4 linked regions of the Mytilus edulis genome follow. The protein of the gene in region 1 purifies or fractionates together with the protein of each later gene. This does not show direct contact. Links are inferred from orthologs where the notes say so. Each region holds a gene or a part of one and is shown on either strand. Other genes may lie near its edges.

What was found.
Region 2: the proteins of coatomer subunit epsilon-like (region 1) and coatomer subunit beta-like purify together in Homo sapiens (affinity purification with mass spectrometry; 6 studies listed by BioGRID and IntAct, with this or other methods). This does not show direct contact. The link is inferred for Mytilus edulis from reciprocal best matches to the Homo sapiens genes COPE and COPB1.
Region 3: the proteins of coatomer subunit epsilon-like (region 1) and coatomer subunit delta-like purify together in Homo sapiens (affinity purification with mass spectrometry; 4 studies listed by BioGRID and IntAct, with this or other methods). This does not show direct contact. The link is inferred for Mytilus edulis from reciprocal best matches to the Homo sapiens genes COPE and ARCN1.
Region 4: the proteins of coatomer subunit epsilon-like (region 1) and phosphatidylinositol-3-phosphatase SAC1-like purify together in Homo sapiens (affinity purification with mass spectrometry; 4 studies listed by BioGRID and IntAct, with this or other methods). This does not show direct contact. The link is inferred for Mytilus edulis from reciprocal best matches to the Homo sapiens genes COPE and SACM1L.

What each region holds. Positions count from the first base shown.
Region 1 is NC_092347.1:37,415,336-37,423,348, reverse strand, and holds the start of coatomer subunit epsilon-like, read left to right. Parts: upstream 1-5,002; 5' UTR 5,003-5,056; coding exon 5,057-5,152; intron 5,153-8,013. Other genes in the region: uncharacterized protein KIAA0825-like, read right to left, coding at 518-689, 1,625-1,767. UniProt on the Homo sapiens protein: The coatomer is a cytosolic protein complex that binds to dilysine motifs and reversibly associates with Golgi non-clathrin-coated vesicles, which further mediate biosynthetic protein transport from the ER, via the Golgi up to the trans Golgi network.
Region 2 is NC_092353.1:31,909,438-31,916,523, forward strand, and holds the start of coatomer subunit beta-like, read left to right. Parts: upstream 1-4,084; 5' UTR 4,085-4,178; coding exon 4,179-4,184; intron 4,185-5,282; exon of another isoform or gene 5,283-5,331; coding exon 5,332-5,434; intron 5,435-6,040; coding exon 6,041-6,270; intron 6,271-6,661; coding exon 6,662-6,831; intron 6,832-7,086. UniProt on the Homo sapiens protein: The coatomer is a cytosolic protein complex that binds to dilysine motifs and reversibly associates with Golgi non-clathrin-coated vesicles, which further mediate biosynthetic protein transport from the ER, via the Golgi up to the trans Golgi network.
Region 3 is NC_092348.1:7,122,604-7,130,411, forward strand, and holds the start of coatomer subunit delta-like, read left to right. Parts: upstream 1-4,801; 5' UTR 4,802-5,090; coding exon 5,091-5,093; intron 5,094-6,184; coding exon 6,185-6,224; intron 6,225-7,018; coding exon 7,019-7,242; intron 7,243-7,683; coding exon 7,684-7,808. UniProt on the Homo sapiens protein: Component of the coatomer, a cytosolic protein complex that binds to dilysine motifs and reversibly associates with Golgi non-clathrin-coated vesicles, which further mediate biosynthetic protein transport from the ER, via the Golgi up to the trans Golgi network.
Region 4 is NC_092348.1:14,407,246-14,414,368, reverse strand, and holds the start of phosphatidylinositol-3-phosphatase SAC1-like, read left to right. Parts: upstream 1-4,097; 5' UTR 4,098-4,152; coding exon 4,153-4,178; intron 4,179-7,123. Other genes in the region: uncharacterized protein, read right to left, coding at 3,736-3,796.

The sequences.
Region 1 (8,013 bases):
TCGCTATTTTGTGCATTTTTCATTTGATCTTTTTTTGTGATAATTTTTCATATCATGCTACTTGCTTGAGATGGAAAATTATCGCTAAAAACTAAGGAGGCATGTGGCGTTGCTAACGAAATTGACAACGTCGTCATAGGTAAAATAGCGATAAACAGATTATCTTTGGTCATCTAAACTCGATTGCATTTCTCGCTTTTGCCGTCCCGGCTCAAGCGAGAAAATCAATCTATAAGTATATCATAGGTACATGTATGCCATAGATTTAAAATAATAGATATATGTAAAAGTTGAAAATATAAAAACATTTTGCACTTTTTAGTTATTTTCTTTTTTCTTTTTATTTACTTCAGATGTATACAAGACATTAGAACAGGACGTAAAACTCAGTGTTTTCACTGTATTGCATAGGATCTATATTTTAATTGGACAGCAAAAGTGTTGTATCCTTTTTTCACAAAAAAAAAACATTTGGTTATGTGTTGCACACCCCCGAAAACATCTATAGCATACATACCACATGACTTAAGATAGTATTGATATCATCTGCCTCAGGATCATAACAAGAATCTTTCTCCAGTAAGTGTGAATCTAACATGTAGGTAATACAATCTTTAGGGTTGTCTGACTGTTTGTTGCCTGGCATTTCATTACATGTCTTCACGATACCTTTCAGGCAATCTGCCATTCTGTTTATAAAATAAAATACATTCATTGATTTTAGTTTGAAATGATGGACATTAACTTAATTAAAACTATGATATAAATGATATATTTACATGTAATGACAAAAATAAAAAAATTTGAATTAAATTTATTTTTACTTTTTTTTTTATAAATTTCCTTAACTTCATATTGAAATGTAGCAGAATTTTTCAGATTCTATCTATAGTTTCAAACAGTAATTTAGTATCAGCTGTTATATATATGCTATCATATGCAAGTTGTCATTCTCAAAACACTCCCATCTTTTCATGAAATTTGAGTTGTCTCCCATTTGTTTCAGATTTGTCAATCCTGCCTGCAGGTATGATGTGAAAATTTTAAATTGAAAAATTATGCTTTTCATAGCTATACTGTGTTTAGCAATGTATAGGAATAAATTATTTCAGGATAGCGATAAATAGAAAATTATCCTTAAATACACAATATTGCTAAAATTGTGTGCTTGATAGATATTAATTTCACTTTGAAAAAAAAATTGTAAAGGCCTGAAAAATTACATTACAACTTGTCTGACAGCACATAATCAACAGATTTAAATTTTATGAAATAAAATCACAAAAAAAATTTATTTATTTATAATTTCTTATACCAGTTTCATAGATTAGTCTCTGTAATCAGAAAGATTTCTTTTAACAAGGTGCGCATACTTTTAACTTCATTTCAATGTTATTCAGCAGGTTAATAAACATATCAGTCAAAACAACTTTTTTGTTAATGGCATACCAAATAGTTTGTAAAAGAAAAAATGGTTCTTTTAGTTTTATTTTTTATATTATTTTGGTTACTGCCTCTTTGTTTTATACCCACCAACCCCATAACAAATTGCTGTAAGAAAAGAGTTGTGTGTTAATTTTCCACTAAAATAAATTACAAGCATGTCAGAGTTTTATTGGCTTACTGTTTATTCTTTGCCTCTAACTGTTGATCCAGGTCTGCTATAATAGAATCAAGTGATGTCAACCCTGGGATACCTTTCTCAAGCATGGCCTTCACTGGGGGCATCCTTGCAGTCGGTAACTTCATTGGTTTAGGTTGACTCATTTTCCCCTTTTAACAGGAAGATAGCTCAAGGTTTACAACTTGGAATCACCTAAATAAATTCAGCAAGATTTATAATGACAGACTTTTATTTCCTATGTCAAAATTGGTGTATGCATGGAAGAAATAAATAAATTTCTACACTCAAACCTTCAATTTCTAAAGATTAAAATAGGTGATTTTAAGAAAAAAAGGGACATATTTTCCTTTTAGCATACATTTTGTACATGTTGCATCCTACTTCATCTACTTAATAAGTGAATTGCCCTTTTAGTAGTGATGTTAAAGTGTCTTTTTGTGTTATTTTAGTTAATTGCTTAATTGCTGTTAGCCAAATTAAAAGTATAAATAGGCCATTCATACATGTATGTAGAGTAAATAAATATTATAGCCAAGCTCGACAGCGATATAAGAGCCGTGGTGTAGTGCATCAGACTACTAACACAAAGGTTCCTGGTTCGATTCCCGTTCCGGATGAAAATTTCAGGGACTGAAAACTAGTTTGGCCACAACATAAAATTTTAAGTTTATTTACAATTTTCACAGTGTGTATATGTTAAGTATGTTTAAATGAACGTTTGTTCCCATATTTTTTCACTTTATTCATTATAGGTTGAAAACTACAGACAAAGTTTAGATGTTGATGAAGTGTCCTATATTTTGACTTTAGTGGAACCTTAAACTAAATTAAACTAAACTAACCTGGAATGCATATTTATAAGACACTATTTACCAAAATGAGTTTAACAGTAGAAAATTCAATAAAAAAAAAATTTTGGAAAATTTCCTGAATTTTTCATTGTACTAATGAACTCAAAATCGTTCAATTTTTTTTATGTCATGTTTTGAAATCCCGGACATGCGCAGAAATGTACAATGTACTTCCTTTTTCCGGTCTCGTTTGTATGAAACTTTGAGTAAAATATATATTTATCAGTATAAAATAGGAAGGAACGCGCAATACCAATTTCATTTTTAATAATTCCTTGATATGAAAAAACGTTACCCGATGATAGCATTTCTTTGTTTACATTGCATATGACGTCATAATTTAAATAACGTCACAACTAAAATCCCTAACAACAGAACCAAAATCGGAAACGTTACGGTTTTCCGTTTCTTTTTTTTTTAACAAATATTTAAGTTACAAAAAAATAATTCATACAGACTTCGTCCCCATTTACAGGTAATGCCTGCCTCATATTACAATACATGTAGCAGCATAGAAAAATTATATACTACTAAGTTCATACATTCAGGCATTGATCTTTTGCATTTTTCATCTTGGCATATTTCATTTTAAATTTTATGTTGACTTTTTTTTCTAGAATATGGATGCTTTTCAGTAAAGCGACATGGTTCTCTGGTGAATCAGTGGTGAAATCGTCTTGTTTTCGCAACTTGATATTTTCGGAAATAAACAATGTTGACTAAACATAAATCAATGCCGGAACAGTGCGGTATTTACGGCCTGTTTACCGTAGTTGACATAAAAATGACATCGATATTTGCAACACGGTGTAATTATTTCCAGAGTCTGTCAGAAAGTACTCTATATATTCCGGATATTCCAAGAATAAAAATCATTATTGACGAATAACTGAAATCAAGTGTGAGTTTACATTCAGTATTTAAAAAAATAAAAAAAAAATATATGTTGAAAATTCAAATGGAATACCAGATTTTGTGTTTTAAATAAGACATAAGACATAAGACATAAATCTCAGAGTGACTTGACTTTCCCTTTTTAATATTATTATTTTGGATCACTTTAAACAGCCAAATTAGTCTAGACTAAAACTAAATAAACTTACTTTTAGTTTCTGTCATATTGACAATTTGTTTATTTATTTATTTTATCAAATTTTAATTTTCCTATACTGTCGTTTCCATTTCTTTGTAGCAACATCCCAGCGGCACCAGCATATGGAGTATATGTGTCTCAATTGATACGTTACTCTAGAGATAGCTCAAAGTACGTTGATTTTGTTGAACGAGGAATACTCAGTGAAGACAGGGCTATGAATCAATCAAATTAAGGTCATCACTCAAGAAATTTTATGGTCGCCATCATGAGCTGATAGGCCATTATGACAAAAGTGTGTCAGAAATCATATCTGATATTCTTCCTCAGTCATAATAACCTTCCATCATTACCGAACTGAACAAAGAAATAACACGACGGGTGCCGTATACGGTGCAGGAATTGCTGTAACCCTTCCGGAGCACATGATTTCACTCCCTGTTTTTAGTGGAGTTCGTGTTGTTTCTTAATCATTATTTATAACTGTTGATGTAAATGTCATTTGGTTTTGTGAGTCTTTGTTTACTCCTTGGTTTTGATTGTTATTGTCTTTAAACTAATCATATGGCACTACTGTGGAAGGGGGAGGGGTCCCGCACTCCACTGTAGCTAAAAGTTATGGGGGGGGGGAAATAGAATAGGATTTTGTTTGGTTCAATCACTTTAATGAAAGTGAACTGAAATGATGAAATAATAACTCGTTTTTAGTAGCCAATTTGGTTCAAATTTGTCAAAATAAACACACGCACACAAAATGGTGAATTATTCACTTGCAAGTCAATAATTAGACCTCACTGACTCTGTATTGATGTGCATGCCATCCAATTTATCCAATTACATGTAGAACGAGATTGGTAACGAAAGTAGTATAAATCGTGTTTTGCCATTAAAATAGAAAGAATGTCAACATTAAAAGTTAAACAAAGATGTTCACTTCGTTGACTGATTCGATTAGCAAATAATCTGTCTCATAAAAGATAAAAACGATAATTAACTTATTTTTTACATATCGTGATGATACGTGAAATCAAACAGACCTAGAAGAAATCCATTTGCACAAGGTCGCTATCTATTTATATTTACCTTTATGTTTATATCGGATTATGTGAAAGTCTTTTAGGTCATCTCGATAGTTAATAAGTTGGCATCTAGACTAAAATACACAAGAACATACTGTTCCCAGTTCTCAACTTCTGATTAATTGTTATGATCGTCAACCGTATCAACAGATATTTTGTCTCAATTTCTTAAACTTATATATACTTCAGCTTGAAAAAAGTAACATATTCTAGAAGCTCCATGCAAAAATAAGTATTATAACATGACAGTCACACAATTTCATAATACGATAAAAGCCGGACGAGAAATTAAGAACGTTGTAGTTTAGTGTATAACTAGATTAATATTTGGTTATTAGTTAAATTATTTAAAAAGCGCTGGAAAGACCAAGATATTCTCATTTCCGACTTCCACATCATCGTTGCAAACATGTCAAACACCGATGTTGATGAACTTTTCGAAATAAGAACTGCATTTTATACTGGAAATTATCAGCTATGTATAAATGAGGCACCTAAACTAAAGGTACTTTCATCACTCCAATCGTATTTGTGGAAAAAGAATGGTTACTGGCATTATCTGCCATAGCAATCCCCATTTTCACCATATTTTTTGTTCGTTTCAACAGGCAACGTAGCCTCGTAGGATACACATTGCATAAAAAGATCATGTTTAGGTTCTGAGTTCATAGCTTTATTCCTTACTTCCAACCAAATCCCTGTCCAACCAACCATTCTTATTTTGGTAAAACAAATGACTGTCATTCCTCAATCTGACTGAGGAGTTGCATAAATTTTGTGGGTTCTAACCATGATAACAAGAGAGCATGATTTTCATTACTAAAATGCTTGTCTCATCAGTGGCTTGAAACCAGGACCTCCGTGTTACTAATCAGCATTTTTACCGACTAAGCTTAAGACGAACATACTGTACATCCCTAGCTCAACCACCAACGGCTGACATGTATCTACTAATACAGTAGTCCGAGATTACTCTGACATATGGCTGTTTTGCCAGACAAGCTGGGGCTGTGAGATGTCAGAGCTTGTCCCATATCCAAAAAGTGGATATTTGCCCGTCCAAAATAGATGCGCTGCTTCGTCACTTCTGGTGCCGACAATCGGCCTAGAAATTATATAAATCATGTATCAATTTGTTCATTTTTCACAGCCCCAGCTTGTCTGGCAAAGCAGCCGTTGGACGTCAGAGTAATCTTGGACTACTAATAAAGCGGAGCATACACCTGATTGCTATTTATTCCATTCTGGATCAGTTCTAAAATTACACAACTTTTTCATCGGGTTGATGCTATCTGGGACCCTGTTTAAACAATTCACCATGCATGATACTTTTTAATGAAACCTGTTTTAACTACCATAAATACTTCAAACAAAATATTTTTTACTTCAATTTTAATTTCGAAAAAGTGGATCATACTTTATCAAAGTTTCTTGATGATCGCTTTCTAAAGTTTTTCCTCCCTCAGCTCACTACTGATGACCTCTATTTTCAGCGGCCTGACCCAAACAGGAAGTTTTATAAATGACTTTTTTCCGGATTTTACTTAATTTGCGATAAGATGTATTCCAATCCCAATTCCCCTACCTCATGAATCATCATATCATTATGACACTCATAATCATGATAAAACATATCTGTTTAAGGTTAGTACTTACATCATTAAAATAAATAGGGTAGGAAGGTCAGCATTTTCATTTTATTATTTGCCATGATTTTAAGTTGCGCAGTGTGTCTTGCCGTCGTCCGAGTTGTCCATGGCCCGAGTTTACCCGTATTTTTAATGATTGGATTATTTCCCTTGGTTATTGGTTGAAAAAAAATGGCAGTGATGTTTTTTTTTTTCATTTCATGAGTTGCGAGTTTCATTAAAACAGCTGTCATATTCAAAATTGTGAACATTGGGATGTATCAGGCAATTGATTAAATTTATTGGCAACCCTTACTTTGCTTTTGACACAAGTTCTATTAATTTTTCACTTTACAACGGAAATAAAATGGCTCAGAGTTGGCGCTGAAATAAAGGTTGGTCGGGTAACCGTAAACAGACATATATTTTTTTTGGCCTAATGAATAATAATTTTATTACAAGATATAATTGCTTATTATCATGATTATAGAAAACTATAAAACAGTAAAACCTAAGCTGATTCAAACTGATAATATATTCTTATAACAATACAAACTGCTTATTAAAGTAGACCTTTGCAGTATCAACAATTGCATCATAAATGGAACACAGAATGCCTGATTGGTTTTTTTTTTGTTAAGGTAAATCCATTAATCCCGCTATCCAACGCAAGCGCGTCGCTATAATTTATTCGTAATTTTTTCAAATTTCCCGCTTATTTTTCACTTCAGATCACGTGATCGTCTGGTTTACTATTTCTGAATGAATTATTTCTGTTGTATTAAGTAACTCCGCGGAACCAGTCTAATAAATTTTACAAAATGGCAATTTTGAAAGATCAAAATAAACAGAGATTTCAACATTGACATATATTTTTTTTATTAAAAGAATATATAGAGGCATATATGAATGAAATGAGATGAAATAAATTGACCGCATTTCCTGACGACACTTACAAACTTGTTTTTACGAAATTTGAACAAACCATGATTTTAAAAACGATCAAACACAGGGGTTTGTTACAAATTTTTGCCAGGTTTACTATCCATACATACCCCGAAAATGAGCAAGTCTTTGAAGTATAAATTATCACCTATTCGAACTAATAATCGTTTAGTAAGCACTTCTACAGTAATGAATTTTACCATTTGAAAACAATTGAAAGGAATATGATTAGAAACAAACACTAAACTGATACTACACTTGAGAAATTCACTTTCTCGATGTTCAGCTTGGATGAAGCCATTTGAATATTATAAAACGTTCAGGTCAGAAAAATGAGAAATCATTATGCTAAAAAATGTCAATTCCTGTCAAACGTCGTAAAGTTAACAGTATACTGCTACAGTGGGTTGCAAAACCAAACACAGAAGCTGACAATGACCTTTATTGTTGGTCCTAGATAAAAAAAATACATGTTCTGCACCTGTTAGTGCTAAGAAATCTTCACATAGGCAGTCTGGTATAGACCCATCATGGAAAAAGATTTCTTCTTGGGTTTTATACACAGATAATATGACATGTATGAGGATTATATGAATTTACAATGGAGAAAAAAGACTCTTCTTCTATACCCAGACAATAACATTAACAAACAAAGGGGTAACTTTCATGAGCATGATGAGGACAGCATTACAAGAGAAAGCATCAATAGCATAATATAAGAAAACACATAACAAATAAATAACAAACAAAGCGCGCTGTGACAAAGTTACAGAGTAATTGTCGAAAATTACGA
Region 2 (7,086 bases), on another chromosome or scaffold:
ATAAAAGTTGGGAAAAGAATAGTTAGCTAACAATTTATATCAAAAACCAAGAATCTTCAATTTGCTTACTTAAGCTTGTTTCAATTTTAAAAAGAGGCCTGCCAGATAATAAATCCATTTTTTCCACCAAATTTTTTTTTACAAGCCAATTTTACAAATGCGTCATTTAGGAATAGACTGTATCATACATGTGTATGTAAATTTCCATTGTAATTCTACCACAAAATAAGTTTCACAAAATTTATGATTTATAAGATTTACGATTTTTAATAAGAAGAAACTTAAAATTTGACAAAGATGTAATAAGCACACCTACATATTGTGCACCCCAAACATGCAAAATCTCATTAGCAAATCCTACCTGTATAGTTGAGCCATAATAAAAAAAGGCAATACCAAATGTAAAATTGTTTTGAGCTATGAAGTCCTTAGCATATATATAATTGAGAGAACCAATGATATAGCCTTCCCCAATCAAAATACAAAATTATACTTTTTTTAATATACTATATAAACCAAATAAAAGACCCTCGTATGTTGATCAATATAAATCCAAATCTGATAGATCAACATTATGTAAATTAAGGTTTAGTGCTCATACTTTATCTATTGAAAGCGGGCGATATCTAAAAATACCAAAGCAGAGTAGAGTATATGTCTTTCCTGCAACAGTGGAGACATTGGAGATGAACTACACTTCCTTTTAAAATGTTCATTCTATAACTAACAACGTGAGAGATAATAAATTAACCTCATTAAAAAAAAAGTCTATTGAACAACATATTACCTTCTTTATCATATAACTTGTTAAAATGAATGCTAGTTGGTGACAAACTCATTATTAAAAGGTACTTGATTTCTGTAATGATTTATATGCTTCTCTTTTATATAATTTTCCCATAATTATCCACTGTCACTTCTTCGTTGTATATATGTTATTGTAGTGGTATCCAGTCGTTCCGTCCCCAAACCCATTCAGCCTCAGGTAAATTCGGCCCCAAGTCAATCCACCCCCAAGTCAATCCGGCCCACGTCGACCCGGCTCAAGTCGATCCGGCCCAATAATAATTTATAAGGAATAAACTATAAAGACTTTTAATTAGTATAAATCGAATTTGTAAAAAGTATCAATAATGGATGACAACAGGTAAGTTTGAATATATTTGGAGTACCAGAAAGATGAAATATTTTAAGTCGATACGAAAATGGTTGTGATTGTATTTTTTTTTCAGGTAACATCAGAGGCTTCTATAACACTTGTCTAAGAACTTCACACAAAAAAAAATTTGTATGTATCAGCTTGGGGATCGGCTTGTACCGTTGTGTATGTAACTATTTGTTATTACACAGGATGAAAGACTTGTTAAATTAAGATCACATCAATTGAAAGAAATTGATAATTTAAAACTGCTGATTAATGTTGATGTCTGTTGATTGTCCTAAATTTTGTTATATTTTTTTTTAATATAATTATACCCAATAATCTAAAAAACTTGTAGTGAAACATTTTTTTTTAACATACACCTTTTACATTATAATAAATTCATTAACTTTACGAGTTACAATTAATATCTTTATTTTTATTCCTTATAAATATATTTTTTATTGGGCCTGACGTTGGGCCATATCGATGTGGGGACTGATCGACTTGAAAGCATTGTAGTTTGTCTTTAATTTGTTGTCATAACCATTTATTGTCAATGCCTAAGTCATTGTAAACTTGTACTAAAAAAGTTATCTTATCTTATCTTATAATGATTTTCAAAAATATACTTTCTTTTACATTCTTCACTCAAGTTTTTCAATTACACATGACTAAACACTCTGCCCTTTTCATATGATAATAATTTTCCCGTTTTAGTGTAAACTAGTACGGTACAGTAGTCTCAGATGATCATGATAGATCTAAATTTAATTTGTAAAGGTTTGTTTTTTCTGTTATGAATATCAAAAGTAAGGTGTATTATTATCATCTTTTTTGTGTAGGTTTGGGGTAAGTGTTAATTACCTGTATTAGCTTGTATCTATGATATAAATATGTCTCTGTCTCCTAATTTTGACATGCTGTCTGAACTTCGTCTGTCTATTAACAATTATATACCTCCTTATTGAAGAGTTTAGTAAATATCGCCCGTTTTTGTCAGTTACATTCTTTTCGGTAATCTACTGAATTTTATCTCTGACGTATGACATGAGATCCCAAGTATCTAACGGAGGCCGAACGTAACTTCCGGCCACGTTAAGCACTTCCTGTCGGCGACCAGAATTTCATTTGCTGGAAGATTCAAAGGTTTGTTAAACACCTACTATTAACAAGTATCAAATAATATATCTTTACGTTGAATTTGTAATTTAGAACTTCCACGTATACTGGACACAAAAGTGAAGGAACATTTTGATCACATTCTCAATATGTTTTCTTTCCAACATTTGTTATCTGTTTAGTGGAAGTTGTCACAATGCTCACATTAATCTGTACCGATACAGGCTCCAAATGTCCTCCTTTATACGCCATAACTATGGTGGTGCTCCTATTTAAAGGAGGCTCATACGGAGACAAGAAGACAAGTTATCTTGATAGGATTCAAAAACTTCAGCTTTATTGGTTTATGTTGATATCCATTAATTGCTGATTAATTCTAACATAAACCTACAATTACAGTTTTGAATTTGGTACAATATCCTGCTTATAATTTGTTCGTTATGTCCTTTCAATCAGAAACACTAATAGTATTATAGTCCAACATAATAAATTTACCAGTGAAAGGGGAAGAATTCTGTGTACATTATTTTTTAATAGTCAAATACTTATAATTTAAAATCTGTTAAAAAAAGAAACTAAAATACTGAAACGTTTCCGATGTTGGTCCTGTTGTTAGGGATTTTAAAAATTGTGACATCATTTTTAATGAAAACAAAGAAACGCTATCCTGATGATGTTACGTTTTTTCGTATCTAAGACAAAGAATGATCAAAAACAACAATTTTACAGAACAAGTCTCATGACATACAAGACCAGAAGAAAGAAAGAGATGTCTGTGCAAATGGGAAAAAATAAGTCTGAAAAATAAAAAGTTAATGATTTTGAGTTCATTACTTAGCTGACATGGAAGAATGAAAACCTTTGATTAATTTTTCTTTTTAATTGATTTTTCTACCGTCATCAGGCCCTCAATACTTAGTTTAGTTCTTGTTTTAGTAGTTAAAGCTGGGAGCAGGTATCAGTTGTGTTATTGACTATTTATCAATAGATTTTCCTTTACATTGAATTGATCCCATGCTAGAAGCCAGAGAAAACTTACACATGTGATCGCTAGGAAGTCATATTTAATAATAAATGAGAGGCGTAGATATCATACAAGGAACAATGAGGAAAGAACCTATCAATAATCATACATGTACAAATGATGTACATGACACATTGAGTAAGGTCTACTAAGGGAGGTAATACAAGTCAATACATGTAACAATAAATCAATAAAATAATCTGTTGCATGTATTGAATTAATGATATTTATTTCAATTGACAATAGGCTGTTCGCCAATTCCCGTAATTGACCCTGTTATAAGAGACCTTTATTTTTTTGGTCTCCCTTTATGAGGGACATTAATTTTTATTTACAATGGAGAGCTCACAGTAAGAGCAAATTTACCTGTGCGTAATGTGAGTAATCTGTAAGGTTTTTAAATCTTTTAATTACATTAATTTGTTGTTTAGCTAAATACTTTTGACATCAGCAATTATTTTTCATGAAAATTTAGTTTAACCGCCGATACATCCCTTCCAATTCATCATGCTTTGCATTGGCAAAAGCCAATTTTGTCTGGTATGGAACCAGTCTACGATTGACAAAGGGAAGTCATGGAAGTAGTTTGTTTAAAAAGTGTGTAATAATAGAATCAAATTGGTAATTGGCAAATGGACTATTATGCTGCTACAATTAAAAAGTTGAAATTTTGTTATGGGGCAGAAGAAAAACCATGCAGGACATCCAGTTGCATTTATATTAAATATAAATGTTTTGCACTCTTAGTCTTACACATTGTAAAACTAATAGATTGTGTCAATGTACTCATGAGTCATGTTAAATGCATATTAATCACTTTATCACTGTTTATATTGTATTTACACAATTTTATATTTGAAAAAACTTATTATAAGATACAAACATATCAGGATGACGGTAAGAACAAGTTATTGTGTTTGTTTTGCATGAACAGTTTGTTACTTTTCAATATCAAATAGAAACAATATCTTATCAGAAAGTTAAAGTTTTGAAGAAGTGTAAAATGTATGACAATGTAAAGTTTTACAAATGAGGATAGTACAAGGCATCTGTTCATGCAAAATTATACCTTACACACAAGGTGATTCATTAAGCACTCCTTGCTAGATTTTTTTTATTAGAGAAAAAGGGGGGGAAGGGGTAATGTACTTGTAAATTAGATGATTCATAATTATTTTTTGTCCTGATTTTTTAATGATCTACCTTTACAATGACTTCAGCTCATTAAAACAGAAGTGTTGCTCAAAATCATATTTCACCAAATACTGACTAAGTCACTATCATATCATGAATTATATATATACAAGATATATACATGAGAAAGTCACAAGAATGATAATTGAATCACCATGTGTGTCAACAGGTACTTTAATGGTTGTAGGAAATTAGATTTTTCAGTTAAACATAAACATATAATAATACATGTATATATTGGCCTAGAGTACCAGGTAAATTATGCCTCTTTAAGTTATTGTGCAATGTATTTTTTTTTTAACTTTCCCATATATCATGTATATTGCTATTGATTACTTTATTGTACAAGTAGTTATGGACATATTTTAAAGCCAGTTATATTTTGTAAAAGTACACAAGCGTTCAGTCATTATCTTCCCTAAAATAGTATTTCTAGATCATTGGTTGCAGTACTTGTTTAGTATTTTTTGTTGAACCTTCAAGCTTTGTGATGTGGTGACTGCTTACAAGCAACTAATTGCACTTTTTTTTTTTACCATTCCAAAATGGCAACAACAACAAAAAAACAGATTTAAAACATAGGATTTTGTTAATCTATAGAAATATTGTTCAATTATTATATAAAAGATTTGGTCTTCTGTCTTCATCTTTACTGGTTCCAAATTAACTTCCAATACCATAAAAAAAATCCTGAGATACTTGTTAAAACACTGATCATATAATACACACATGTAAATGGGGAAAAAATCTCTTGTATGAACTTATTCTAGAGCTGTTATCTAAAGATTTTAAATTTTATAGATACATGTACACCTACAAATGTAAAATGCCCATTTGACTTTATTTTCAGAATAAAAAGATGTCTACCTTGGCTGAGCAGCCATGTTATACTCTGATAAATATACCATCAGATGCAGAGCCTCCAACAGAGATGGGACTCAAATCAGATCTAGGTATGGCAATATATATATTGATATAAAACACCAGTGAAATGCAATGTGGATGTTTTACCTGTTCTCAATCTAGAAAGTCAATTTTTTTTATGTAATGTTTTTTGCAACCAAATATACAAGCATGGAACTTTTTTTCTGAATCTACACAATTGTTAATTCTACATACATGTACATGCTTCATATGTACATGTATACAAACAATATAAACAACAAGAAATGGTTTGCCAGCATTGTTCATTAAGGCTGAATACATGTACATGTATCTTGCAGTCTATCTTAAATGACACACAACAAACTACATGAGGACGTAAAAACTTTTAAACAAAAGATGTACATGTATTGGAGTGATTCACATTCAGCAAACTTTTGATATCATGGTTTAATTAATTTTTGATGGCTACATGTAGCTTATCATTTGCTGGTTATTATATGCTCTCCAAATCATTCATGTTTCATGTTTTAGTTTTAATTTATTGATCACAGTATATACAGTTGTATTTAAAGGCATGAAAAGAAACTGATTGAAATTAAATTGTAAAATTTCACTTTTCAAAAGTTGTAGTACATTGTACAATATATATTGAATGATATTTTTTTTTTTATTAGAAAAGGGAGATACAAAAACAAAGATTGAAGCTCTGAAGAAGACGATACAGATGATACTGAATGGAGAGAAGATGCCATCATTATTGATGACTATTATTAGATTTGTCATGCCTGTGAGAGACCATACCATCAAGAAAATGCTGTTAATTTTCTGGGAAATTGTTCCAAAATATAACCCTGATGGCAAAATGTTACACGAGTTTATTCTTGTTTGTGATGCATACAGAAAGGTATGTTTTTTTCTAGGGCTTTAACTTAAAGTGTTCTTCCTAATATAGTGTCATGGTACCAAGGAGCAATAAAGCCTTGGAGAGATCATTTGCATCTGCATTGATGGGAAATGTTAAATTGAAAATAAATTAGATATTTAGCAACAACACTATTTCTTTCTACAAAGATGCAAGTAAGATCTACATGTAAATTATAAATCACTGTACATATATTATTGTTTGTATCTTATTGAGAATTTCACTGAATAATGTATCTATTTTTTTGAGTAAGGATGGTACAATTAAACACGCATGTTTTTGGAATTATTCATTCTTCAAAATGAAACTAAAAGTATAGGTTTATACCTATGTAACGATATATCAAATATAATTCCAATTGCTTCTTTTTCAGGATCTTCAACATCCAAATGAATTTATAAGAGGATCAACATTGAGATTTTTATGTAAACTGAAGGAAGCCGAATTATTGGAACCACTGATGCCAGCAATCAGACAGTGTTTAGAACACAGGCACTCTTATGTCAGGAGAAATGCTGTTTTAGCTATTTATACTATCTATAGGTTTGTACATTCAAAATTTAAAGCGTTAAAAATTGTGTGGAAAGTTAATTAAAATAACTCTGGTCAGACTGATTTTATTTCCAATTACAAGTTGAAAGGAATTTTTTAAAGTTTAATGGTTTTGTCTTACCAATAGATTATTATTTCCCCTCAGCTACAGGCATAATGTTTTACCCTTGTCTCTGTATGTATGTCCGCCTGTCTGCATGTCCCAAAGTTCGTTTCCATTCTTTAACTTTGGTTTGTCTCAACCAA
Region 3 (7,808 bases), on another chromosome or scaffold:
GGTGTATTGGTTAATGAGAAAAATGGCTCAAATAAAAAACCATGAATCTCTTTTGATTAAGTTAGATTTGTCACTTCGGTGACTTGAATGTCTGATATCTGTGAGAATTTATGTCTTACAATATATAGTTAATTTATTTTTTTGAATTCTCAAATGGATTGACCAATTCACCTCAATTGTATAGGTTAAACTGCCACCGTTCAAAAGCGATGAAAATTCTAGATCGAGGACAGAATTCAAGATACACGAGATAGTAGGTTTTCCTATAAAACCGTGTCAATTAGAGGTATATATTTTCTTAAAATAACTTCAAAAATGTCTTTGTCTGCAGCTGTTTTCATGTTTCAATTTAACTTCCGGTGTTTTTTCGGAACATTTCTAGATCTTCTTTTCTGAATCAAATTTTGTTAAAAGTCTTTCAGTGAACATAATTTATAAAGTCATTCCATAATTCATCTCTAAATTAAGTTTATTGTTATTGCTTTTCATTCTTACAAAATTTAATTTAAAAATACGAAAATAAATATGAGTAATGACCATACAAAAAGATATTGCTATAGATCACAAGAAGACCCCGATTTAATATAGAATAATCGATTTTTTTTGATTTTTTTTTATACAATAAATTATCCATATATGTGTAAATAGAATTTGATAAGTATTATGTATACCATTTTATAAGGATCTATTCTTGTCAAAGTTATAGAACTGAAACTATCTAACAAACGGTCTCAATGAATCGATGACAACTCGCCCCACTACTGGGCAATCGCCTCGTATCAAATCGCCCCACTCTTTCCCCAACTCGCCCCACTCTTGGTGACAACTCGCCCTTTCTGATGAAAAAGTGTAAATCCCATTGATCATAGGTCTACAAACTCGCCTCACTTATGAAAAGGGTTAAAATCCCGCTGAATAAAGTACTCGCCCCACTTATGGAATTTTTTTTTAAACCATGATGAATTTTATAGTCATGCCAACTCATCCCACTTGTCAGGGACAGTTTATACTTAGTTAGCATAGACTGTTCCTGCACGTATGAAACATGATGCAATCCTGTTGCCAACTCGACCCACTTATGAAAAGGAGTTGTATTCCATTGATTTAAGGTGGTATGGGTGTCTTTCGCTATCTTGGATTGTAAAAAAACAGAGAATCTAAGGTCTAGATTTTCAATCAAGTTAGCAAAATTTGATGCAGGAATGCAGTTAACAAATATGAATTTGCATTTCAAAGAACAAATTTATAAGCTTATAACTTATAAATTTTAATATTTTTACAAGTATAAATGAATTCAGTTTGATTAGTTTTTTTTTTTTTAAATTGGCATTTTAAGGGGAGATAACTCTGAAATAGTGCTTTTTCGGATGGAATCTACATGGAATTTTGCTATTTTGAATTCTAGCCGGGAAAAAAACACACGGTGACCCTATCTTTTCTTTTGATATTCTAAAAGCATTTTCTAAAAGATATCTTCTCGAATTTTATTTCACAATGCTAACATTTAGTTTAGCTTCAAATCACATAATGATGATTTATTCTGTATAATCCATACAAAAGGTGTCATTTTGTCATAACCTGTAGCTTGAGAAAATGTGCGGTGATCTATCATTTTTGTTATCGGGAGAAAGGAAGAAAGACCAATCACAATTTGTTATATATTTGTTTTTCTCTTTTTTAATTACATAAAAAAAATAACCCTTTCAAATATAGAGTTCATAAGATACAAATATTCCCTGTGGACCCCCCCCCCCCCCCCCCCTTTTATTTGTGCTCTGTATTTTCAACCCTCGAATTAAGCTTTCGAATCTAATTAAAATTAAAACCTTGCTTTCTAACCAATCTATTCATGTACCGGACCGGCAACTTTCTTTATTTAATACGAAAATCTACAGTGCCGTTATACACATGCATGTTGTTTGCTTGGAGTCTCCGCCCGAAAAGAAAGAAATAGTCTAACTCCAAGATATAATATTTCTGCATCACGTGATTTTTACCATGTGGAGCTTACATTTGAATAAATACCGAATATGGAAAGTGAAACTACAATTCAAAACATAAAGTCGGAAGGCACAAATAAGAAAAAGAAAGGATTTTTTTGGCAAAAGGTGCAGGTAAATTCTCTCCGTGTTCAAAATATACATGAAATATTTGCCACTGCCCCTTTTCTGTTCTATGAATTCTAACCTATCTGTTACTCCATGCCAAGAAATCCTCGCTAAAAATTCCGGTCGACCCCCTACGGCAGTCATTAGTAGCTAAAGATTTGATTTCATTGAAGAAATTAATTTATGACCTTCATGTACGTGTTGCTTAGAACACAGCTATATACCAAATGGTCAATATTAATCATCCATGTAATTTGCCCTATGGAGTGTTTGCAGAATTTCAACGGAGGCAATTTCTTGGCATGATTTTTGAACATATATCAATAGACACTACGTTTTGACAAAGTATGAACAAATTCTATCATTTTTAATTTAGACTCCCATACCACTTTTAATGAAGCCAACTCGACCCACCGTACGAATAAAACAATTAAACTGTACAGAATTGAGGCCTACCTAGTTGCCCCAATTATGAATTAAATGAATATTTATGAATAATGTAGAAATGCATCTCGGTTATTGTAAGGTAGATGGAGTGTCTAAATTATAATCCACTAGAACACACCCGTGATATCACGGGTCCGTGACTGAATTAAAGTATATAACTATGTGCAAGCCTTATTTTAGTATTAGTATTGTCATCTGATAAAGTCATACCGATTATAAGATACACATGCAGTTTTTCTCTGCTTTCAAGTCTTTCTGTTTGAACCCGTCGAACTGAAACAATAATATTAATTATTTGGAAAACAAAAGGTCCTGGAATGAAGTATTCTTTAATCAATAGCATTGTCCTATATAAGTTATAAATAAAGGTTGAATTCTTTGCTTCGCTGTTTTACGTCATGCCCACTAACAAATTGAAAACTGTACCTATACGCCTTATTTTTAGTCCAGATTTTTAGTATTCGTATTGTTATCTTAAAAAGTCTTACTGATTAAAATACTACAATAGGTAACAATTTGACAATTTAGTAGTGTCAACCCTGTGGTTATGACCCGTGTATATAGCATATTAATCCTGAATACAACGTTTGGTGGTGCGCCTGTCAAATGCGGAACGTACAGATAAGGTAATAGGTAACAGGTGAATATACTATTGATATCGGTAGCGGACTCGACCCGGAACTTCTTAATTATTGGCAATATTAATTACGTGGAAAACAAAAGGGCCTGGAGTGGTGTAATTTTTAATCTACACCTTTGTACAATATAAGTTATATATAAAGTTGAATTCTGTGATTCGTCGTTTTTACGTGATGAAGGCTGACAAATTGGACCTCGTAATTTTAGTATTATAGATAGATTTTTTTTGATAATTTGCCAAAATGTAGTTTATATTCTGCTTGTTTAAAAACCTTCATAAAAATAATGGGTCACGGCACTTATTTTCATACTACAGGTTGTGCAAAATTGGCAGATTTTGTATAGATTATGATGGAAAACCCAATTTTCCGCCATAAAACCAAAACTACACCATATAATTTTGAGATAAAATATGAGAACATAGCTCCAATATTATGCTTTCAGATAAGAAAAAGAAAAAACAGGCGGTCACCGGACTCATTTTTTTGCTACATACTAAAATGGGTAAATTCCTAACACAGTCTATTGTAAAAGTAACATTATTTGAATTATCTGCCCTTGCATTTGAGTTGCCTTCCCTTATTTGGCAAAGTTGGGGAAAAAAATGAATCAAACAAAAGTATTCGTGTTTTTGTAAAATACAACCATAAAGATGATTAAAACATGGTATTTTTCTGTATCATAATGAACATTCTTACACATGAATTACCTACTACTCTCAAAATTTGCACATTTTATCAAAGATCTAGACCTTGATTCCTGGTATTTCAAATTCCAAGATGGAGGATACACCTTATCTACCTTAAACTCTTTAGGTTGGAAGAGAGCAGACATGAGTAAGTATCAGCATTTCTGGAACGTACAATGTTATTGACTATAGGAACTGTTTATGATTTTTTTCCTGGTAAATATAGGGTCTGGAAAGGGGGGGTCTGTTATTCTGTAAACCTTTAATTTTCACCCCTTTTTTCTCTAATCATTAAAAAATTAATCCCTTTTTTCTCTAATCTTCATAAAATTAACCCCTTTTTTCTCTAATCTTCATTTTTTATGCCCGTTATTCTCTAATCTTCATTTTTTAAGGGAATTATTCTTTAATCATTTAACCCCATCCAAACCCTCATATTATCACTGTTTTACATATTTACAAGTCAAGAATCATCATGATAAAATATCATCATGTATTTTTACACATTTTTTTCTCAGATGAAAGTTTTGCACAATAAATCAATTATGACAAACACTGTCATGATTACACCAATGATTTGTATCGTTCTTACTATACAAATCTTTGATTACACAAAAAGAAGTACTAGATAAAATGTCAACACTAGAAACAAGAACATAGATACACAAATATGGTATACAACAGATAAGTTTTCATAAAAGTGAGGCTGAGTTGGCAGACATTAATCATGTTATTATATGGATTTTACACATTTTGATAAATGCAGTGAGTAAGCAGAAGTAAATTTAACGGGATTTAACCTCATTTTGAAAGTGGGGCGAGTTGGTGCAAAAGTGGAGCGAGTTGAGTTGTATTACTTCCATCTCATTGGTCCGTTGTTGTTGATTATTTCCTAGACATTTTTATGTTGTATTAGGCTATACCTGCGCATCTGAATCCGGCGATTTTCTTTTAAAAATATAATCCTCTATTTAACACCTAATTTTATAACAATTTTGTGCTTTATAAACTAAGATTTAACGTTGTAAGATTTCAAACATAGAACTCATTGCAAAATCTTATCCATTATTATTTGTTCAGAAACTACAATTTTTGGGATAAAGCGCAAGGTTACAACTTGAAATTGACGTGGCCGAAAAACCGTCAGCAGATACGTTCATTACTTCAATATTTGTCAACACTAGTATTCAAAACAGCTTTCGTTCAACATGGTAGGACATTCACTAAGTTTCTATAACATTGTCAGACATTCTTATTGCTCTCAACAATGAATATTTTACTCGCTAGAGCCTGATCAAACCCAAACCACTTACCGGCATCCTTCATATTTTTTCTCCACAACAACAAACCGAACCTCATTTTTGCTTTATTATACTGTAAACATATTGCATAACGTAATGTATCTATAATTGGATTCTATCACTAGCAATATGGAATGAGCACAGATTCGTAAAACATGTAAAAAATACTGGGATATCAAAAAGTTTTCAAAATTGAAGCCAATGAAGGACATAACGTCATAAGATACATGTACTGTTGGACATGTAACTATAAAGGAAGAATAAAAACTAGTAGTAGTAAACAAAAGAATGCACCACTATTGTATACCTTTGTCAATTTTGTATGATCTGTACCAATCATATTCATTAGTGTCATTCCTTAGGCTTAAGGATTATGTACCCTTGTGTTGATTTAATGCCACACATATGGAAATTTTATAGAAAACGCACAGCCTTTCCCTTTGTACTCTCATGTTTGGTAATTCTATGGTTGATAGATAGAGAATTATTGCATGCAGTGCTATCAAGAATTTCCTTAAAACAAGTTTATAGGTTAGATATTGGTTAAAACAAATATAGATATCCACCATATCAAGTACACCTTCTACGGTGCACTTGACTTTAGTGACTCAACACAAGGTGTTTTGGAATTTAAAGGTTGTTTAGGACATCATAGAAAAACAAGTGAGTAATCTATGGTCAAAATTTTATTACATTAATCTCTGTATTGAAGTCTGTGGATTTTCTACAAAAATCTTGGTTTTATTTTCACCAAATCCTCTTTTTCTACTAAATGCAACTAAACTTAAAATGATAAGGCTTTGCACAAGTTTCCCCTTGGTATATGTACAAATTGCATATCTCTATTAATAATTATCTTTGCTGTTTTGATACTATTGAAACTATTGCAGTTTGAAAATTTCGTAATTCTCAGGACACAGAAGGGTTCATAAACCTTAAGAATGTAAGAATACCCATGAATTTATTGGACAATCAACTATATTTTTCTTTCTTTTATCTAGGTGCTGCTTGCTGCAGCTGTATGTAACAAGTCTGGAAAAGGTTGGTTTATTTTTTATAATTCTTAATTAATTAAGACACCAAAATGTTTATATCTGTATATTTTACAAGAGAATTGAGATAAAGCATAAAGCATAAAAGATTTATTTAAAGTCGGTTATACATATAACAATACAACATAAGCTCTGTAGAGCTTTTATCCGACATACATATAAGACAAGCACAATACATAAAACACATAAAACATGCAAAATAAATAATGTTATCAAGCACAACAATTAATTAGCACAATTAAAGCATATAAGCAAACATAAAATGCAGATAAACTAACATTCATGCAATAGCAATTATAAAGCACTAAAAGTAATTCAAGCATTAAGAACACAAATAAAAAAATTATGCCAAATAATTTAAAAGCCAGAGTATACATGATAAATAAATAAACTGATCTACAGCTCATTGAGATCTGCAGGAGGAACACTGACACGAACTGCCCTCCCAATTACCAACCAAACTTTTAAACTGAGAAATTTAATACTTGTTTTTATTGAATTTTACTATCATTTAAATTATAAAAAAAAAGGTAAAAGGTAAGTGCTATCATTTTAATTATTAAATTAATTGATTAACTACATTTATATAATATATATTATTACATCTCATACAAGTTTCATACAATTACATAATTTAAATGAATTTTCAAGATTGTAGCCTGACATCGTTATTGTAATACATGTAAGAATTTAATGCTTCGTCTCTTTGATAAATAATGTGCTGTACACCCTGATGTAATTACAAAATGAAGAATGAAATTAATACTTATAAGACTTTTTCAGCGTTAATTTCCCGTCAATTTGTGGAAATGACGAGGTCAAGAATAGAAGGCTTGCTTGCAGCTTTTCCTAAGTTGATGAGTTCAGGAAAACAACATACTTTTGTTGAAACAGAAAGTGTGAGATATGTGTATCAGCCTCTAGAAAAACTTTATGTTCTATTGATAACAACAAAAGCTAGCAACATACTAGAAGATCTGGAAACATTACGTCTGTTTGCACGTGTGGTAAGTTTGAAAAAAACTTTATGATCTATCAATAACAACAATCGCTAACAACATACATGTTCCTGAAGATCTTGGAACATTTGTCTGTTTGAACATGTGGTAAATTAGAAAACTTTATGTTCTATAAATAGCTATCAACATACTAGAATATCTTAATAAAGTGTCGTTTGGCAGGGCAAGTAACTTAATAAAGAAAAAAACTTCTTTCAATAAGTATCACTCACACAAAAAGATGTTGTGTGTGGGGGGGGGGGGGGGATAATACTTTTCATGTGATAGATTTGCTTGGATTACACCTTATTATTTTAAGGAGCATTTTTGATGGCATTGCAAAGATCTAGATAAATAGCAGAATTGAATATTTGTTAACAACTTGACATGCGTTAAAAAGTTAACTAAATGCATAACAAATATCTATTTTTATTTTTTTATTTTCTTCAGATACCAGAATACTGCAGAAATATGGAGGAGGCTGAGATTGGAGATCAGGCATTTTCTCTTATCTTTGCTTTTGATGAAATCGTAGCTCTAGGTTATAGAGAAAATGTAAATCTTGCTCAAATCAG
Region 4 (7,123 bases), on another chromosome or scaffold:
TGATATAAAGGCCAAAAGATTTTTTTCAACGGCTTTTTATAATATAGTTCGTTCCTATATTGGACGGTCTTCAACAATGAGCAAAGCCCGTACCGCGTAGTCAGCTATAAAATGCCCCGAAATGACAAATGTAAAACCATTCAAACGAGAAAACTAACGGCCTAATTAATGTACAAAAAATTAACGAAAAAAAAAAACAAATATGTAACACAGCAACAAACGGCAACCACTGAATTACAGGCTCCTGACTTGGGACAGGCACATACATATACACATACATGCATACTGTGGCGGGGTAAACATGTATTGAAATATTTTGCCATTATGGTCTATAAAGATATCAGATATCAGCTGGTTAGCTACTAAAAATTGCAATGACTCAACATCAAAATGTTTTTAAGTTCTGTTTCCTTAACTACTAACACTGTCGAAATAAATTTTAAAATGTACATGTATAAGGGTACTTACATTTTCTTTTCCTTCTCATTGGGCTCCATTTTGCGTAATAACGGTTGAATAAAAAATATTCCTTTTATATATACCTGGCTGGAGCCCGTGCAACATCTGGTGCTGAATGCGTTTTAGAAAACTTCAAAGACCTTTGATTTTTTTTCTCACGCTCACAACTTACCCATATATAAACTCAGGCATGATAAAGGGAGCCGACAGGATGAAAGACAATGCCTTTAAAAAGTATTTTTGGAACATCAAAGTGTTATATTGTACGTCAGAACGGGTAGCACGTCCACACGGGGTTGTAGAAAAGTATGCAGTCTTTCAATAAACAATAAATTAATTTACAATCCTCAATTAAGAGATCAAAGGAGTTTTTCTTTTCATCTTACATACTGTTTTAGCGTGGTTGTAACAATGATAACTACATCAACAGCACCACACAATTGCATAACATAAGGGTCAGATTCATTTCGTTGTATTTCGTTTCTTCATTTTTTCATTTCGTTTCGTTTCGTTATATTTCGTTTTGTTTCGTTGTATTTCGTTGCGTTTCGTTGTAATTCGTTTCGTTTCGTTATATTTCGTTTCGTTTCGTTTCGATTCCGTTTCTCACTTTATAAGTACCCTCTATGGTCGGGTTGTTGTCTCTTTGGCACATTCCCCATTTCCATTCTCAATTTTATGTTATTTGCTCGTCCAAATTAATATGACATCTTGAAAGGTTATCATATTTTTTGGCTGTTACATATATGGGCTATTTCAAAAAAAATGATGCCAAAGTGTGACAAACATGGTAAAAAATTAAGTCATTGCTAATCTTTTTTCTATCATTTTTCTTTAATCCAGAGACATTCAAGTTTACAAAACTACCAAGGGTTAATGCAAAATAATAAAAACAAAAATTTTAACAACATTTTACTCATAAGAATTCATCCACTTTTCAAAGGAAACAACATAATAATAATATCAACTGACAAACATAAATAAGAATCTAAATATCAATGTAATTTTTTTGTTTGTTGCAATAAAGGTTCTAAATGATTTTCCTGCAATTTTTTTTTACTTATAAACAGTTTTTTTTTTTTAAATATGTAAATTTCACCAATTTTTAGTGTATTCTTTAATATCTTATTTCAAAAGTTTTTATATCTCTTTGCAAAAGCTTTAATTTTATATAAAAAGTATAAGGAAGCAAACATATATGATCTAATTACATCCTCTGAAAATTTCACAACAATTGCTTCAGTCAATTCTAAGTTTTCTTCATTTAAAAAATACAAACATGTGTTTGTTATCCTTTTGTTACACTCCTGACATATTTTTTCAGTAACTGTAAGACTGTTTTTTAATGGAATGTTTAGAAAATCAGTAATGATATCTATTTTAAATTTACAATCTCACAAATAAATAAATTTATTAGATATTTGATTACATATTTTTTTAATTTCTGAGCAAAGAGCAAACTTTTAACATGTTTAATGAGAATTACACTTTAATTTTTAAGAATCTTTGGTGAATAGTGTGCAGAAAAATCACTTTTACAAGACAGATCAGCTTTCTCATAACATTGTAAAGATGTTACAATTATTTTAATAAAGAATCATGTTGAATTTTGTTATAGATAAGCTACATCAGAAACTTGTCAGGAGTGTAACAAATGTTACACTCCTGACCATAATTTATTTCTACCATATTTTAACCTGAAACTGACCTGAAATCATGTAGAGTCTTTATATTTCACATATTATTTTAGTGCAAATTAAGAACAGGTTAAAGAAAATTATATACTTCTTACATATTTACAAATTTTGCTAATTGTCTATTTAAAAAAAAAGATGGCTTTCCTTTAAACCTTGTTCAGTCTCTTGTTTGATACTATATATATGCTGTTTTTATGTCAGATAATGTATTATGATAAGTTTGTTCGTTCTTCCAAAGATGGTAGCAGTATGTGCTCTGTATATTAAAAATTGTCCAAAAATGTACCCAAAAATGTCAGGAGTGTAACGCTTTAAAATGTTTAAGTGTAACATTCATGTTATTTTTTATAGAAACAATGTTGTTATTATTGGTTTTCCTTTCTGGAATTTGAGTGTGAACACCATCTGTTGCATATTTTCAGTAACAAACATGCCATTATTATGGCCTTTATTGCTTGTTTATGCTCAATACTTGTATGTCAGGACTGTAACACACTTAAACAAGCTAGTTCAATTGCAATTTTAGTTCAAAAATTTCAAAAGTAATGATGTAGACTTGTATTCTGTGTTAAGCTGAGGTGTAGTAATGTCATTTTATAATAATTGTCAGCTTGTTTTTCTTCCAATAACTTACCTTTGCTAATAAGATTGAAATAAGGCATTTTTTTGTGTTACACTCCTGACATTGAAGTATTGAGCATACAAAAGCAATGAAGGTCATAATAATGGCATGTTTGTTACTGATAAACTGTAACAGGTAATGTTCACTGAAAAACAAGAAAAAACAACAACTATAACAACATTGTTTCTAAAAAAAATACATCTTAACCCAGTTGTTACACTCCTGACAGACCTGGGTAGTCCTCTTATTGTAACCATAATATTCCAGTAGTAGAACTTCAGGGTCAACTGGATGCACCTGTGCCAAGCTATGATACTTACCTAAAAGAATAAACCGTGCAAGATGTACAGAAACATGTTATTTCACCTACAAAGACATTTTCTGGCAGCATATTGACTTTTACTAACATTTTTTTTTAAACACAAACTTATTTGACTTACCTTATGAGGCACATAAAAATGTAAATATATGGAAGAATTAAACAAGAAATCATAGTAAAGATATAATAGTTGGATGAAAGATATTGTTTGGTATTGTATCTGCCCTTATTTATTCTATATCATCAATGAATGCACATGCTTTCTTCTAAATGTCACACTAAAAGCGTTACACTCCTGACATTTTGAGGTACAATTTTGGACAATATTTTTTAAACAGAGCACATACTGCTATTATCTTTGGTAGTTAGGACCAACTAATCATAATACATTATCTGACCTAAAAACATTACAGATATAGTATCATACAAGAGACTGACAAAGGTTTAAAGGAAAGGCATCATTTTTTTTGAAATAGCCCATATATGTATATCCTAGCTAACTCTAAAGATTATATTTAGAGGGGGGATAAGAACACCCCCCCCCCCCCCCCTCCCCCCAAATAAGACCCCCTTACACATATTTTTTACTCAATGTTTACTACAAACTTTAGAAATGTGTTACTATTTTGAAAACTTACACTTGGAACTATAAGATCCAAGAACAAATGGAAGGGAACAAAAAGCCAAATACCAGAACATTGTGTATGTCTATACTAAGATGTATGTCACTATGTTCTATATTTATAAAAGAGGGTCTTGCCGGAACTTAATCTAAAATTATGATGTCATATACAAATTATGTATTGCAGCACCGGAGACGTTTTTTTATCGAAAATATATAACTTTTTTGATAAATTTAGTCAAGTGAGGTAACGAAAAAGCAAGTATTAAATTACTGCTAATAACACTTATCCTTGAATCATACACAACTAGAAATTTTATTTCGAAAATTTGCTGAAACAAGGATTAATTATTTTTCATTAATTTAGCTTTTAAACCAAGGGGAGATAACACATAACTGTCACGTCAGGCGATCGGCGATCACACCAGTGACAATGTCTGTCCACGATTCATTAACTCTGTATGTATTTGTTAGTCGTTAAAGAAAACGAATGTCAACCTATGCATTAATTGTAAAATATCATAGAGCTCATAAAAACCGGGAAAATTGCTTTTCGAAAATACAGTCAATAAGTCATGATCTTCAGACAAGTCAAGTCGGCATCAAACCGTCATGACTGTCATTCAGAGGTATCCGGTCGTTCCGGTCCCAAACCGATTCGGCCCCAAGTCGATCCGGCCCACGTCGATCCGGTCCCATGTCGATCCGGCCCCTTAATAAAATATGAATAAACTATATTGTTTTTGGAGGAATTTGTGACAAATTTTAATAGTATAAATTTTTAAATGGAATTTGATTTTTATTTTATTTAGATCACACACAGAATAGCTAAATAAATATTTACAGTCCAATGGAACCTTTAAAATTTCACATCATAATGACTTCAAATCATTAGTCTATAAAATTGAGAATGGAAATGGGGAATGTGTCAAAGAGACAACAACCCGACCAAATAAAAAACAACAGCAGAGGGTCACCAACAGGTCTTCAATGTAGCGAGAAATTCCTGCACCCGGAGGTGTCCTTCAGCTGGCCCCTAAACAAATATACTAGTCTAGTGATAATGAACGCCATACTAATTTCCAAATTGTACACAAGAAACTAAAATTAAAATAATACAAGACTAACAAAGGCCAGAGGCTCCTGACTTGGGACAGGCGCAAAAATGCGGCGGGGTTAAACATGTTTGTGAGATCTCAACCCTTCCCCTATACCTCTAACCAATGTAGAAAAGTAAACGTATAACAATACGCACATTAAAATTCAGTTCAAGAGAAGTCCGAGTCTGATGTCAGAAGATGTAACCAAAGACAATAAACAAAATGACAATAATACATAAATAACAACAGACTACTAGCAGTTAACTGACATGCCAGCTCCAGACTTTAATTAAACTGACTGAAAGATTATGATTTCATCATATGAACATCAGGCACAATCCTTCCCGTTAGGGGTTTAGTATCATACCATCATAACATATATGAGAAGAACATAACCCGTGTCATGCCAACAACTGTTTTTAGAATAAATGTGTTTAGTTCCGATGCAAAGACCTTATCAGTGACTCAATATTAACGCCAACATATGCAATCTTTAATGACTTGACAACAGTATCGTAATTATATCCCTTCTTAATAAGTCTATTCAAAGGTTTTGTAAGTTTCTGAGGTGAATACTGACACCTTTGTGCTTTATAAAGAATATTACCATAAAAAATTGGATGTGAAATACCTGAACGTATTAGAAGTCTGCATGTTGAGCTATATTTACGAATGATGTCTTTATACCGATGATAAAATTTAGTAAATGTTTTGACTAGTTTGTGATATCGAAAACCCTGGTGTAATAATTTTTCAGTAATACATAAATTTCTCTCATTAAAATCTAAAACATTGTTACATACACGAGCGAATCGTACAAGTTGAGATATAAAAACACCGTAAGATGGTGACAAGGGAACGTCACCATCTAAAAACGGATAATTAACGATAGGAAATGAAAAATCATCCCTTTTATCATAAATTTTAGTATTCAGCTTTCCATTAGTGATATAGATATCAAGATCATGAAGATCGAGAAAAGGGCTGTGGTCATTGTTAGTATTAGCTTTATTTAAAGTAAGTTCAACAGGATAAATTTCATTAATATACATACTGAAGTCGTCATTATTGAGAGCCAAAATATCATCCAAATATCTAAAAGTATTATTAAATTTGTTTATCAGATGTTGTTTCGATGGGTCTATAACTGGTTTGTTTATTCAACAACTGTCTGATGATTGTGAACTAAGGTGATGCCACTCGTAATCACTTAATTCAATCAAATCCTGATTAATTAAAGTTACGTAATCAACAAGGTCTTTATAGTTTGATCTTTTGTTTGGTGTATATAATAATAATTAATTGTATTTTTTTTTTTCATTTAACATCAGAGGCTTCTATAACACTTGGGTTTTTTTTTGTTTTTTTTTGTACTGTGGAATATATCTGGCAATATATATTTTTCTGCAAGTTGACAATATTTTGAATAGTTGTGGGTAGATAAAAAAAAACATGTTATATGAGTATCCATTAGGTCCGAGACCACAATTATTTCGTAGTGCATTTCTTTTACAACATAAATGAAAATTTAAAAAATCCCACCTGCGCTTTCTCAAAGAAACTTTTACAGTGTGTTGTACTACTTTTGGGACAAATTATATCAAAATTATAGAAAACTTCATCGCCTCTAACTCAAAATATGGACAATTTTATCTTTAGGGCGTCTTGAAATGATCTTTTGACAGCTTCCGAAGTGCTATTTTTCAACCTTTTTCACCTGGACCAAATCACTACTTTCCTTTAAAATTCTGGACCCAAATTTGTTCATGTTGTTTACAGTGTAATTTCACCCCCCTACTTGCAATATGAGGCATTAAAACATGGAGAAATAAATTTGGAAGGGGTATAAACATGATAAAAATTAATGGCAAGTAACCCACTGTCAACACTAGGGACTATATTTGTGAACAACGAAAATCAAGGGACGACAATTGTGGTCTCGGACCATTATTCTTTATTGCAAGAAAAGGTTTCAAATTGTTGGGGTTATTCATCGTTTCTGTCAATTTTTGGATAAACATCAAAATTAAACTATGACTCATGGTTCTGTATTAGTCAATCACATAATTGTTTATAATGTAAGGTATAATAATCTACATTGAAACTTAAATAAAATTTAAAAGTCTAGTGGTTAAGACCGATGGCTACAGTACTGAAGGTCCCGAGTTCGATTCTCACTCGAGATGTGGAATTTTCAGTACATCACAAGGCCGTAACTACCATTGAGGCAAGTGAGGCAATTGCCTCACTAAAATTTCGACACTAAAATATTTTTTTGTATATGTGTTTATTTGTTTATGGTAA